2 linked regions of the Styela clava genome follow. The protein of the gene in region 1 purifies or fractionates together with the protein of each later gene. This does not show direct contact. Links are inferred from orthologs where the notes say so. Each region holds a gene or a part of one and is shown in the gene's direction. Other genes may lie near its edges.

Evidence for each region. Proteins that work in one complex are often made in the same cells at the same time.
Region 2: the proteins of ras-related protein Rab-11B-like (region 1) and exocyst complex component 2-like purify together in Drosophila melanogaster (affinity purification with western blotting, with the first as the bait; 3 studies listed by BioGRID). This does not show direct contact. The link is inferred for Styela clava from reciprocal best matches to the Drosophila melanogaster genes Rab11 and Sec5.

What each region holds. Positions count from the first base shown.
Region 1 is NC_135262.1:17,158,879-17,166,437, reverse strand, and holds the start of ras-related protein Rab-11B-like, read left to right. Parts: upstream 1-4,483; 5' UTR 4,484-4,642; intron 4,643-4,898; 5' UTR 4,899-4,933; coding exon 4,934-4,973; intron 4,974-6,835; coding exon 6,836-7,031; intron 7,032-7,359; coding exon 7,360-7,553; intron 7,554-7,559.
Region 2 is NC_135250.1:5,801,087-5,808,752, reverse strand, and holds the start of exocyst complex component 2-like, read left to right. Parts: upstream 1-4,651; 5' UTR 4,652-4,665; coding exon 4,666-5,336; intron 5,337-5,626; coding exon 5,627-6,276; intron 6,277-7,023; coding exon 7,024-7,127; intron 7,128-7,520; coding exon 7,521-7,666. Other genes in the region: proteasome activator complex subunit 3-like, read left to right, coding at 1,745-2,518. UniProt on the Drosophila melanogaster protein: Component of the exocyst complex involved in the docking of exocytic vesicles with fusion sites on the plasma membrane.

The sequences.
Region 1 (7,559 bases):
GGAAATAAGTTACAAAAGTTATGTATTTGATTCATTTAACTTTTAATAGCATAGAACCACAATGGCTATTTACTCTTTTTCTCCTTTCTCTCCCTCCACGGAGCCGACACGAACCTTCTCCGTAATCCTTATCCAGGACAGCAAGATCATTAGGATAGGAGTACCGGTAGAACCATATTTACGGTAGAACTCAGTGACATATATATTTTCTGAAATGAGAGAAGCTGTTATTAGTGAGTTCGATATAAAAATAATTCGTTTTCAAAATATTTAATCCCACTGCGGGAAAACACCACAAAAGTTAATGCACGACCGGCAAACCCGATCGCGACCCCATCCTCCTCCTGTCAACTTCCGTCACGTGAGCTCATATTTTCCTGAAATCGTCGTTATTTATGACGTCACATTAATCGCGCAAGCGTTTCAATCTGAGACATCGGGGCGTTTGTGCCGGCCTGGCCAAATCTTTGTTTCGTTTTGATTTAGTCGTATTATCGTATTTTATGCGAGGGTGTTGAATAATGTAAGTGGCGTACCACCTTGTGTGTAACGTATCCAGGGATAGGATGTAGTTCTATCTGATTTTCATTATACTATTACGGTATACGATACAGAGTTATTTCAGCACCTTATCGGTAGACTACGACTGACGGTGGAGACGTCAGTCGGTCATTGCTGTATTGCTTGCGATTTGCTAGTTCTCTTACAGCTGTACAGTCTGGCTAGATCAAAATATTACTGAATTACCGCATTGGTACTGTTGGTATGTCATACCAGCCTCCATGGCGAGTCAGTCTCCACCCGAAAATAGCATGCCATTCCTGCATTCCAATGAAAAATAAAACTTGCCTCACAATGCTATTGTAACAATTTTGATGCTATATAGTACCGGTACCGGGACCGTACGTAGATAGTCTGTAAATTCCCTCTCATCTAGGCATCAGTTTAAGGGTTGGGGCATCTGAGAGATACCATTATACAGTTCAGCAGTTATACACCCACTCAATGTCTGGGTCTGGTATAGTTTACTGGTTTAGTACCACATCCACTTCTAGTTGGCCTGGCTCAACAATTTTTGCATATGTCAATTCTAACCCCCACCTGACTACGTCACCGAAAAATTACGTCATTCCGACGTCACAGTGGCGTAATACGGCTCACCGAAGTATGCGGATGGTCATCCAAAACGCGCAGACGATAACCCGAAATCGAGCAAGCTATTTTTCTCGTCACAACGATCACGATAGGAGAGAGATCGCCGGCTTTAGCAAGTTCTGATCGGCGGCGCAGATGCCATTTTGGGCGATCGTAGTTATACTTTGGCAATCCCTATGACGTGGTAGTGACGTAATTTTTGGATGGCATAGTCCTGTAGTCAGGTGAGGGTTAGGAATAACATATGCAAAAATTGTTATGCTACGCCCACTGGAAGTACTTGTGGTACTAAACTTTACTAGACCCCAATGTCTGAATGTCCACCAATGAAATAGTGTGCTTGCGGTTAAACGTTTGATTTTAGATCTGGCATTATAGGTTTCTGATAATCTATCTGTTAGGTACAGTGATGCTGTATTTCGAGGCGCATGAAAGAATACAGGACTCATCTTGCAGATAAATATTGTAGTTCAGTAGTTGGATTCAAAAAACTCATATCGTTATAATGACTTTACTGGACACCGCGGCACCATGAAATCATTACTGCATTAAGCTTGCTAAGGACTGCTATCGGGTCTTGTGTAGTATCGTATCTCAAATACCTCTAGTGGATGTAGCATAACGATTTTGTCAATCCTAACCACCACCTGACGATGTCATCCAAAAACGAGAGAAATAGCTTGCTTAAATTTAGGTGATCGCCTGCCCATTATGGATGACAGTTCTTATAGTTTGAAGGGCCCTATTACATCACTACTGCACTAGGACGTCCTGACGTGATTTTTCAGTGACGCAGTCAGGTGGAGGTTAGGATTGGGATTGACATATGCAAAAGTTGTTATGCTACGCCCATTGGAAGTACTTGAGTTATGAAACTACACCAGACCCCTGCTATCATACCGAACATGCCAGGGCGTAGCCAGAAATTTTCGAAGGGGGGGGTTCTGAATTTTTTTTTGCCAAGTTAGACCGAAACTGCTAGCGGGTTCGATCGAACTCTGGAATACGCCTGTTTCTAGTAGTCTTGTGGGTCTAAAAAGCATTTCAAGCTACGGAAAATTGCTATCTATGATACAGAAAATTGATTTTATTTTTTTTACATTTTAAAAGGGGGGGGGGGGGGGTTTCGACCCGCAAAACCACCCCCCTGGCTACGCCATTGCGAACATTGTTTCAAATACATGCAAAACAGCCTGAAATAGGTTCCAGTTTTGGGGTCTCGTGAAGTACACGCAGCAAGTAATTCTAATTGGCCCGGCTGGACAATTTTTGTATATCTCATGCCTAATCCCCACCTGACTACGTAATCCGAAAATTACATCACTGCGAAGTCGCTGGGGTTAGGAATATTATATGCGAAAATCGTTATCCTACGCCCAGTCTGCCAGTAGAAGTACTTGAGGACGTGTACCCCAGTTTTGAACATTTGTTTCATCCACAATACAGAAATACTGTAATAAGTTCATTCATACTTGTTTATGTGGCTCCATCAAACATTTTAGACTCAATGATTTTTTTCTTTTGTATTATTGTTTTCTAAGCGAAAGAATATCATTGTGCCTTTGTAACATGGGCTGTATTGGGGTTAGCTGTGATTTGTTAAGTCCTGTCCCACTTGCTCTTGGCGTCCGTTTGGAACTTATTACTTGCGTACTGGGCTATTCCAAGTGACTCTACGGAACAATGTACGGACTTGTGAGATGTACTATATTTTCACATTGTCAGCTACATGTTTTGTATCATTGTCCAATCAGTTGCTTTATGAGGGTTTGAACAAAACTGCACGAAAGGTAAAAACAAGATTCACTTAGTGGATATAAAATATAGCGTGACATTACGGAACGGCAAGTTCACCATGCATCAACGTTTCATTGTGTTGTGTTGTAAATTGTCGCGTTAGTACAGCAAGAGCTATTTTCTGGTGCAATAACTGAAGGACAGACCCCTCTGTGTCACTCAAGTTACTCAATGTAACACTGTAGATCCATGACGATAATGTGCACATTGTACGGGACACATTTTTCCTCTTTGGAACAGCAGCCTCTATCATCTCTTAAAATTCTGGTAATAAATCGTTAAATCGGTAAAGACATGTCCTACAGCACTGCAAACACTTAGGCTCAAACTCAAGTCTAGTGCATCTATTCGAAATGAAATAACTGTACCAGACAATCAAACAATTCATGTTATGAGTCACCAGAAAACAAAATTTCTACATTTCAGGCCACTTTGTTCAAATCATCAAAAACCTGGATGAAATTTAAACTTTTTTGGTGAAATGAATGCAGTCCAATAACGTTCAAGTGTCTTTTGATATAAAAAATACAAAACAATTACTTTCACTACACTATTAAAAAAATTTATGAAGTTCAACAGTTCCTTGGAATGGCCCTACTTTGGTTGCTGACATTTTACGAATATCAGCAGTGTCATATTAATATCTTACTGAAGTGCTTGCTTTGTTATATCCAGTAGTCTTCACTATGCGATTTACATACCTATGTATTTTCCTAGGGTTAACAATTATTGCAGAGTATGCTCCATTTCAGTGAAAAACAGGTGTGAAATACCGGTAGTTCAAATGCTGACAAAGCCCACACGGTTCATGTTCATTATGCTCAGAAGGCTTGGATCAAGTAAAAATAACCCAACAATAATTGTTAATTAATATATAAGGGTAGTTTGAAAACAAACAGTGCAGCATGGACCAAGCATTTTATAAGCTTTCTGTTTGAGCTCAAAACCTATTTGGTACACCTTGATCTACTTCACTGCAAACCAGTGTGTTGTGGAACATACCATGGTGTGTTTCATCAAATAGCCCATGTTTTTGTTTCTGTTATTTGCATCCTTTATGAGTATTCCTTCATATGCCAAATTTATAATGGTAAACTAATTATTGTGTGAGCAGTTCATATTTATTTTAGTTTTAATTTTGCAAAATATGGATTTGTCACTTTATATTTTGCCTTGCTTTCTTTATAATATTTTCAATGTGGCCCAAAATCAATCAATGGTACCATGTTACGTTCTTTTAATGACGAGAGTTTAGTTTCCATGGAGCATGAGGGTGGCCATACAGTGTCATATCAAACAAGGGTATCTCCATAGTATGTGTACCAGGTGAGGGTTAGGCCATAATTTTATTCCGATTTTCCTTATTTTAGTCCTATTACGATTTTGGGCACTGTTTGTGTTAGCCAAGTGAATATACCCCCTGCCCATAGGCTCCCATCCCTTTACACTTGATGTCAAGTAGCTGAACAAAATTAGTTACCTTCATATTGGTACACATACCGTACTTCTGGAGCGCCCAAACAAGATCTAAATATGATTTGTTCTTTTTTTGACTATTTTAGTGTGATTGACATATTTCCCTAATTAAGCTCTACAAGCCACAGAACAGTACAGTTAATTGCTTTTTAGCAATTGGGTATCACACTCCAATCTACCTGGATTTCTTATTGATCTCTGGACCAGTGTACCAGTAAGTTTTAGTTTTGTTTTATCAAACATATCATTATTAATAAAAAGTTATACTTCTACCAAATTATATTCACTTTTTGACTTTAAAAAATTTTCCCATAGATTTGCCAGAATTTGTAATTCTGAATTAAAAACTTTTATGTCAATGTATTCCTTTGAATTTTAAATATATTGGTTGCATATCGACATTGATGAACAATGTCTGAATTTTTGATGCTGAGTCGTTGACGTAATGATTTTTATACTTATCTTCACAGGGCAAATTTGAAAATCAAAATCACAAACTCAAATCATGGGTACTAAAGATGATGAATACGATTATTTATTTAAAGGTTTGTATCAAGGCATAAATACACTAAATGAAATTTTGGTATGTCCGACATATACTATGTGACTAGCTTGATCCTTTGTTAAATTAGGCATTTATCTCCAGACCAAATATAGGCATATTTCTCAATTCAAATTACATTCTATATTGTGAATACAAACTCTCGATATATATGGTCTTTCAACCGCTGTGGTGTTTGTCTATTCAGGCCGATTCATAATTTTGTTAATCATTAATTATTTTGATACTTATTTTAAAGCATTTTACAACTGAAATCTTATTAGAGCTCATGAACAAGCCTTTACACATCCACAAATTCAAAAGTGGCGGTTTTTAATAAAATGAAAGTTCAAAATTATACATCACGTTACACTAGAATTTTTTTCACTAGGTTATGTAATATCACCATTATTACTTTAGCTAGACTAGAAAATGCTTTGCCGTTGGACTCAAATGTCATATATATTAATCAATTTTTTGGCCATCATTTTGTTGCGGTTGATTATATATAGAATTTATTTGTAGTACTTTATTTTGTTGTTAAAATGACTGCATTTTTCAAATGGAGAAATATATATTTTTTTTAAATTTATTAAAATATACATGTTTTGTGAAGACATTTAAATTGGTATCAAATTATAATTAGTAGCCTATACAAGATAGTGTAAGATATTTATCTTGATATAGCTCTTGATAACAAGAGAATATAAGAATTTTCTTTTAAATATCAATGCATACAACTATGTTGGGTATGTAATGCATCAGAGCTAATAAATGATTTGCAGTATATAGACAAATTTGACATACATTGTGTGTTTGCATTAGCTTTCTATTGAACTATTGGTATTGCATCACTGATGTTGGTGCCGGCTTGCACCCAGACAAGACCTTTCTCATATTTACAAAAAGAGCATCAACTGTTTATTATGTGAAATACCATTGTATTGTACCTGAAATCAGGCATATCAAACTATCTTTCGACATGAACATCTACAATGAGTTTCCATTTACTCAAACTAGCTTTTAACATGAATTTTTACAATGAGATTCCATTTACTCAAATTTTGGGGCTTTTAGAACATGGATGTCTTTTTTATATTTAAGTCATTCATCTTTGGAATGAGAGATCTTTAGAGGTATCATTATTCTGCTGCTATTTTCTTTTCCAATACTATACCATGAAATTATGTTATATAATAGATATGAAGAAAGATACCAGATGGGTGTCAGTGTCAGAATAGTAATTTTAATATTCTGAATTTGAAGAATAAATTTGAAATCACCTGTTAGTTGGAAAATCCAAGATAAAAACTTCTCTCATTAACCTTAAAACCACAAACATCATTAAAATACTTTGAATTGAAAGGCTACTTGGTAATGTAAAATAAACCCTGTTCGTCGTTATTGTTTCGGCTTTGAATTGGCATGATAATTAATTTAACATTGATTGGTAGTCTCAAATTAAAAACACAGGTATGTAATCGGCACTCATGCACATGTTTTAAATAAATCAATAGACACCTGAACATTTAATTCTATGGATTATTATACCCTCAGTCATGAGCTCTTACAATGGATAAGTTTTCTGTAGTATCGTTAGTTTATGAGTAAAGATTAAAACTCATTTATTAATTTGATAAGCCAAACTGATAGTTTAATAGGGACGGTATCGTCGATATAAATAACAATTCTAGCCATGCACTTGTGAACACAACTTTAATGATACCAAGTTGATTTTAAAAAGTTGTTTTTTAACTGAGGTCCACTGCAGTTCAGATTTTTTTTTATGTTACTCATTTTCAACTCGTATCTTTTGGGATAATCAGAACATCCCAGTGTAACAAAGATTTTTTTTTCATTTTACAGTTGTCCTAATTGGAGATTCTGGTGTCGGAAAAAGTAACCTTCTGTCAAGATTTACGAGGAATGAATTTAATCTCGAGAGCAAAAGTACAATCGGTGTAGAATTTGCAACGAGAAGTATACAAGTTGACGGGAAGACAATCAAAGCTCAAATATGGGATACTGCAGGACAAGAAAGATACAGGGCCATCACATCGGCGTAAGATTATCATTATCATATAGTATCTTAATCTGCAATATTGGCTGCATTACCTGACCGTACATTTTGTTGGGATGACATAATTGCTATAGATATAGACACTATATTGTTGTAGTATGATTATTTTTTATTCCATACCATTCATTTTTATTTGAAAAAACCATATATTTCAAATTGTGGCACACGTTACATTGAAATATGAGCCCAATAAAGGAATATATGAGAATATCTTTGGAGATTGGAGAAAATATTGCTGAACGCTTCTAAAATAAAAAAGCCTACATTTGTCCTGCTTGAAAGATGGAAAAAATTGTTTATTGCTTAACAGGTACTACAGGGGTGCAGTTGGTGCTTTGTTAGTTTATGATATAGCAAAACATTTGACATATGAAAATGTTGACCGATGGTTGAAGGAACTCCGTGATCATGCAGATAACAATATAGTCATCATGTTAGTCGGAAACAAGAGTGATTTACGACATTTGAGAGCTGTACCTTCTGATGAGGCGAAAGCATTTTCAGGTGAGC
Region 2 (7,666 bases), on another chromosome or scaffold:
TTTTGATCAAATCCTCAGCCAGTAGAGCGCTAGAACTTTATTTCAATATTCAAACATACTTTGACCAGATACATTGCCGATAAAATGTTTAGGGTAATCGTTCTGGCTTTCGTAATTTTGAAAGTAAACCGTTTCGTCTGAATAATTCGATCACAAATAATTTTATGCGCAAAAAATTATATTGTGTTGGACAAGAAATTGAAGAGTTGGTGCTTGAATAACAAACCTTAAAAACTTTAATCAGGTATTTTAAATGTTTTCTCGCGTTATTGCTTGCTTTTGGAGTTATTCCTCGGAGGGGATGTTTTCTGGTGGGAACTTTGTACAAAGGGTTCCCATCGTTTTATATAAATTGTTATTAATAGTTTCCAATATAAAAAAGTGGTGTTGACAAGCGACGTCCTATTTTCTATACTAGGATGCATTACAAGTTACATTGCATTATATTGTCACATCTATAATATGGTAAATAATGGAGGATACGTACGCTAATCACCTAAGTAGATTGGATAGTACGTTAAATTTAGATACATTTTGAGAAACTCGAGGCTATAATAAAATGCCACGGCACCAGAACATGCAATGAAATCCAAATCCAAAAAACGATGAAAATCAGAGAGATTATGCTTTCGGATCATTACGAATCACATCAGCACGACAACACTGAAAGTCGAATTGAGTGACACCAGGCTAATCATATCGGCCGCGGGAAATTCTCGTTTCTTTGACAAACGTGAACCACCCTGCGACGACGAGGAGTCTGGGACGTCTCTCGCACATAATTATCTTCACAGGATGCGCACCTGCTGACCCACACGGGGAAATCAGCGGTGCGATGCCAAATGTGATTCTAACGGTTAAACGGTTTACGATTCCGGCGCTACAAATTACTATTTAATCAGCTTGTTGCGTAGTTTTTAGGAAAGACAGCAGTATTATCTTACGACGTGCTAAGGTCTGTTTGATTTGGAGCCTCGTTACTCGCACACTACCCAGTCCGGTTATCACTTTATCACAGCTTGAAGCAAATTATCCGTGAAGAACGTTAGGTTGTTTCCGTTTTCAGTGTATATAAGACAAGTAATTATAATATTGATTCAAATCCAAAGACTGCGCTTCCCAGTTCTACGAATGACATTGGAATTTATTCTATCCGGAATTGACTCCGCGCAATACCATGAGTCACGATGGGCTAAAAAGATTTATTTTGCGAGTGGCTGTTTTCTGAAAGTTTTGAGATTTTAATTTTCATATCTCAATATAAGACGATATTACCGGTAGTGTATAGCTCCTCAGTAGTACGGGAAACCAAGAAAAATAGATAAGAATTCTCATTGATTCGTGCAAGTGCAGTGGTGACAGAGTTGGAGTTTTGGAATCGAGATAGGCTGCCGATACGTTCGTAACCGGTACCGAAAGAACATAGTTTGGTCAGTTTTTCTCAGTTCGGAAGGCTGCTGTAGTGACTACCCCTATAATTCAATAACCCTTACTCTGCCTTTACACTACCGGCTGGCCGGCACCATTTGTAAATTTTGCTACAGGCAGATAGACCACTGGCCTATAGAAACTAACAGTACTAGCGTTTTTCATGTTTTTATGTATAAGCCTTTTACTTAGGCCTACTAAAACTATTTACTGCAGTACTGTAAAAATTGCTGAATTTGATAGCAGAAGGGCTTTTTTCACATTTCCACACTCTTGTATTACAGGTATTTAACTACTAAAATATCAAAATAAAATAATGGATCAAGATTTACAAATCAAGGATAAGCAACTGAGGAAAGAAATTTCTGATTTTAAACTTGGAATCGCTAAAGATGCTGAAATTTTAGTCAATGAATTTTTTCCAAAGAAATGTATTGAACTAGATAAATTTTTAAAAGAAGATGTTTTACAGACTGAAAACGTCAGAAACATTGCACAAAAACTTGAAATTCCCATTCCAAATGCAGTTATTGTGCAAGACTTTAATAACGTTGATGGTCATGTTACGAGCCCCAAAAAACGTAAACTTGATGTAGGACCGGGAGGTGACATTGATGGTACCAAAGTATTTTCATTTGCTTGTGGTCCAGTGCCCTGCAATAAAAATCTAATAGCAATAATCGATCGAATAAAACCCGATATTCGTCTACTGATGGAAAAAGTTAATACTGTTCGAATGTGGGTGACTCATCTTATTCCAAAAATTGAAGACGGAAATAATTTTGGAGTCTCAATTCAAGAAGATACTCTTGCAGAGTTGAGACAAGTTGAAAGCGAAGCGGCTTCATTTCTAGATCAAATATCACGATATTTTGTCACAAGAGGTAAAATTATCACCAAAGTAGCAAAATATCCTCATGTTGAGGACTATCGTCGCTTTGTTGAGGAGATCGATGAGAAAGAATTTCTTAGCTTGAGACTTATAGTGTGTGAGCTGAGAAATCATTATTCCATTCTTCATGACTTGATTCTAAAGAATATCGAAAAAATCAAGAAACCGAGAAGTTCAAACATTGATGGAATGTATTAAAGTCTAAAACTTTGGCGAGAGAGTATGATATGATCCAAAAAACTATAGAAAGCCAGGATATTATTGGACTCAAGATGGCTGGTGCAAGAATTAGTTCATCCTCTGTATTTGGCGAGGCATTTTATTGAAAACATTTTTATTACGAATAAAAGTTCACCATGAAATTTTTTTAGCTTGGTAAAAAATTCATTCATCTGTTTTTATGCTTATGTGTTTTGAGCCTGTCTAATATTGTCACAATTGCTGTTTCGCATTAATTTACTATTTTATTATTTCATTCAGTCTGCCATTCTTTGTGTTTTATCTGGCTTTTATTGTGAGGGTATTTGAATAAATTATTTGACAAACTATGGAATCAGAATGATAATACGCAGGTGATGGATATACAATGATAAAAAATATTGTCCAAATTCCAGTTGCTAAATTTAGGTGTATTGTTGAATTTAGGAGGTTTTGATTGTATCTTATTTTATTATCTGGTTCAATTATTGTTAGCTCTGAGTGTTTAAATCTCGTTTTTAAGTTGTCAATTGTCTAGGATGCCCATTAAAATATATTCTAATCCGTATTTATTCATAAAGCACAACTGTTGGTAATAAATGCCTTCCCTCCCCACATGCAAAGACTTTGAAAGTGTTAAGATACTATTTTCCAATAGTTGATTGTTGTAACATTAATAAGTGAAGTATCACTTAGAAGAAGATTCCTCATACTATTTAAGACTCTGACCCCTATTAGTCAATCATTTACTGATTACCAGTTATACAAAATAAAATTTGATTTCCAAATTGTCCAAATACATAAAACCTGTATTTGTTGCAAGCCAAACCCAGTTGGATTACGACGTTATGACCATATCAAAATAAGACTCCCTGTACTATTGAGGACTCCAACCATATTAGTCAATCATTTACTAATTACTAGGTATACAATTTGATTGTTTATTATTAAATAAAATTCCAAATTTCCCAAATACATAAATTCTGTATTTGTTTTAAGCCAAACCCAGATAGCTTATGTCGCTAAGACCATATTGTCAATATTAATATTACTATACCCATTCCGATTTATAACCTTGATGGTTTTCCAATAAAGGAATCTCGTTGTTAAACTGCCTGAATCAAGGTACTACATATTCCTGATTTCAGTATATTTATACCTGTTACATCTTGTCCTCTTCGATTTTGTAAGACATGTCTGAAAAATTGGGATCTTTTGTAGAAAGCCTCTGACAAAAAAACATCCCAGCGCTCAAAATAATAAAAAATTGGTGATTATCCAATTACAATTAAAGAATGATAGAATTCATCTGTGAATTCAGAGATGTCAGGGTTAGCGAACCTACAATTACCTAAAACAGGGCAGGTGAGGGTGTTGTTTTCAAGGTGGCGAGAGCTTTCTATAAAAGGTTCAAAATTAAATTGGTAATATGGTGGGGATGGAAAAAAAGACCTATCTTTTCAAGCACCATTTTCACCAGGTCTGCACGGTCCGATCAAGTATGCAATTTTGGATTCAGGATTTATGATAAAATTTAACTCCCGCTCATGACTCCGTAGTAGAATCAAATACAAAAACATTAGTAATTGTCGTATTTACTGTTTTGTATGTATATAATTATAATGGGTTAGCATTGTATTCTGTGGTGTCTGAAACAGTCATTTTTTTCTTGTTATTTGTTCTTAGACGATTGTTTTGTAGTAGCTCCCAACCAGTGAAAAAAACATTGCTGAACAGCATACTATTTATCCAAACTGATTTACCACTGTATGTGGTTTGTACTTTATTCCATATTTGTTTAAATAAATACTGTAGAATTTCACAGCGATTATGACGCAATAATTTTACATTAATGCTGGTTGCAATTTTAGAATTGGTGATAATTTTGACGGCTTGGCGCATGTGATTTTATTATTGCGATTGTCAAGTTATGTAATGGAAGTGAACATCCTCATTAATTGAGTTCATCGTAAGTCATTATGGCACTGTTTTAAGTGAATATTCCTGTAAAAAACCTGCCATCTAATCGCGGACATGGTGGCCATTTCCGTCTGTATTTTCTTCTTTCAATGTAATGAATCAGTGATATTAATTCTTTGTACAGCCTGGTAGTTAATTAGATTTCCTGAAAGGGGTCAAGGGTCATAATGGGACCACCACCAGTTGTGACAGGAGTCTCTCCAAAATTTGGAACGCCGCTAACGAAGATCACAATTCGTGGAGAAAATCTTGGAACTAGTAAAGCTGATCTGATTGGTGTGTTAATATGTAATAAAGATTGCACACTTACCTCCGAATGGCAGTCAAATTCAAAAATAGTTTGTCGTACTGGTAGCGGTTTCGGTAAAGGAGACATCATTGTGTTCACAAAGTCTGGAGGAAAAGGATCATCCACTGTTGGGTTTACAGGTCTGCCACCTAAAAAAGTCGGCCCGCTGGAAAAATCTGCAGTATGGGTGGATGAGAGCGAATATGTGGACCAACGTCTCGATAGAAATCAGAAGCAAACTGCTTTGTCATTGAGAAGTGACCCATTGGGGCTTAATTCTGATGATTCTGTATCCAGGGCACCAAGTAATATGAATCTGCCAGAAATGTACCCAAATGGAAGCCCCGATCCAACTGATGAAAATTTTGTGCCGGCTTGGTTCCTTATTGAGCGACATTTTACAACATCGTTTAAAGAGTTGAAAGAAGGCCATACCTACATGAAACGACGAGCGAATAAAAATACAAACAATGCTCCACTGAATCATGTCAAGGACAGTTTACCGGTATTTTTTGAAGTGCAAGAGATGTTATCATCGATTCACCAGAGGCAAGTGCAAGTGTTTTTTTTCTTTTTTTTTGTATTCTATTTAGTTATAGAGGGCTAGTAATAAATTCCCCATTTCTTCATTCGGAATTATTTTCTTCAGGGTTTGATGTATTTATATTATAATATGTACCTTCGTAATATCAAGTTCATGCATCTGAAACAAATTACAAGCTATCTATACCGATATCCAACATGGACTGGTAACAGGATGAGAGGCCATGGTTTCGTTACGTCGTATCGACTTTTCTCTTCCCAAGCAAGAATATAAAAATCCTATTCTTCTTATTCAGGATGATTAAAGATGAGGCTGGAAGAAACAATGAAAACATCACTGCTAATCTTGAGAGTCTGTTAGCAGAGGCAAGTGAAAAAGCTGGTTTGTTATTCACCACTGTACTAAACAGTAAGGACCGAGCTGACTCGATTCGTAACACTCTTGGAGTTCTCCAACGATTCAAGTTCTTGTTCTATCTTCCATTGAATATTCAACGTAATATTGAGAAGGGAGATTACAGCGTCGTTATCAACGATTATGAAAAAGCAAAATCACTTTTTGCTGAAACCGACGTCAGCGTATTCAAACGGATCTACGCTGAAGTGGAAGACAGGATTGCTAAATTTCGTGTGAAACTCCGCAACGAATTGGTCGAATTGCCTCTTCCGTTATATCGCCAGAAAAGTTTGATCCGCTATCTTCTCGAGCTTCATGAGCAAGGTGACCCAGCGTGGGATTGTCTCAATAATCAACACGAGTGGGTCCAGGGACAACTTCTCAAATGCAAAGATAAGTATTTGCTAAGAGCAAATAAGGAACACAATGCAAGCAGTGGAGATAGTTCTAAAACAACTGATGTTCCCAGAGAATTTTTGGAAGAGTTGGCTCAACTTGCTGTAAGTCAGATTCCAGAACACTGGCACCTATGGGAGCAATATTCCACTGGTAATTTTGAAATAATTTTTGCATCGAAGTTATTTTTATCACTGGTATCCTGTAAGACAGGCCTGCACAACATACGGCCCGCAGGCCGCATGCGGCCCGCTAGATACTTCTGTGTGGCCCGCGGGTGATTTGGAAACACGCCACTTCTCGGGTCTAACAATCAAAGCCGGCATTGTTATGCAAGCGCGACGCTATATCATATTCAAAATCGTGAGATTTATGTTTTGCACTAGTTTCAATAAATATCGAACTTTGTGTGAAATTGGTGTGCCCTTCTCGACCCCTAAAATTCGTCGCTTGACCCCTCGCCCCCCCAGTTTGAAAAACCCTAATTTGAATATCTCCGTATTCAGACTGAATCACGCTTAAAACAATATCGGTATACAATCTCACACCCATCAGTGCATATTAGCAACCTATTAATAATCCCATTATTTTTTTACTAGCAGTTTATGAAGCTGAAGTTTCTTTTTTGTGGCAAAGTTTGCGGCCCGCCGGGCCTTCAAATTTATGCTTGCGGCCCTCGTAATTTGAGTTGTGCAGGCCTGCTGTAAGCCTTTTTTGTCTTATTGAAACTAGTATTGAAGCCAAGAATCGATTTTCCACATCCTATTGGGAATATCAGTTGACTAAATAAATATTAACTACCGTAATCATGCCTTATCACTTAAACCTAAAAATGTTGTAATACGGACTTAATTAACTTCACAGTTTTTTAACCGTTTATCAATCTCATTTCCTATACAGGTATTATACTGAGTGAAACTGGTGAAAAATCCACCGATGTTGACAGACTTAAACAAATGGCATCAAAACATAGTAAACAAATGAAAGGATTGTTGAGAGATACAGTGAGTGTAACAATATTTTTATAGCTGTTAGAGGATTACTACTTGTACATAAGATAGATGCCACTCAAATGTCTATAGCACATTTTAATGGTTTTTCATTTATTCAAGGGTTTTAAGACAAAAGGACAAATGTTGGAATTTTGATGAAAAAATTTATAGGTAATCTCTGATCACTGGTATCCATAGTTGAAGCATTATTTACCAAAGTATTTCAACAAAAAGTTACATGATTTCCATATATCAATATTTTTCTGCAAAATAATTCAATTCAAAATTTCAAAAAATAGTTAAGAATTGTAACAAATTTGTACATAGATATGTACCTCTGCACTGCTTTTTGAAAAATTTATAAAAATATCATGTAGAATAATATACCAATACTTTTTATTTCAGATAATTCTTTTTGTTAATCTACTACGAGCTGCGTTCCTTCCTGCAACCTTGAATTTTGACGATGCTGATGAAGAAGACATGAAAGAAAGAACTTCTTATGGAATCTGGCCTAATGCTCATATTCCTGCAAACACTCTGGCAGAATG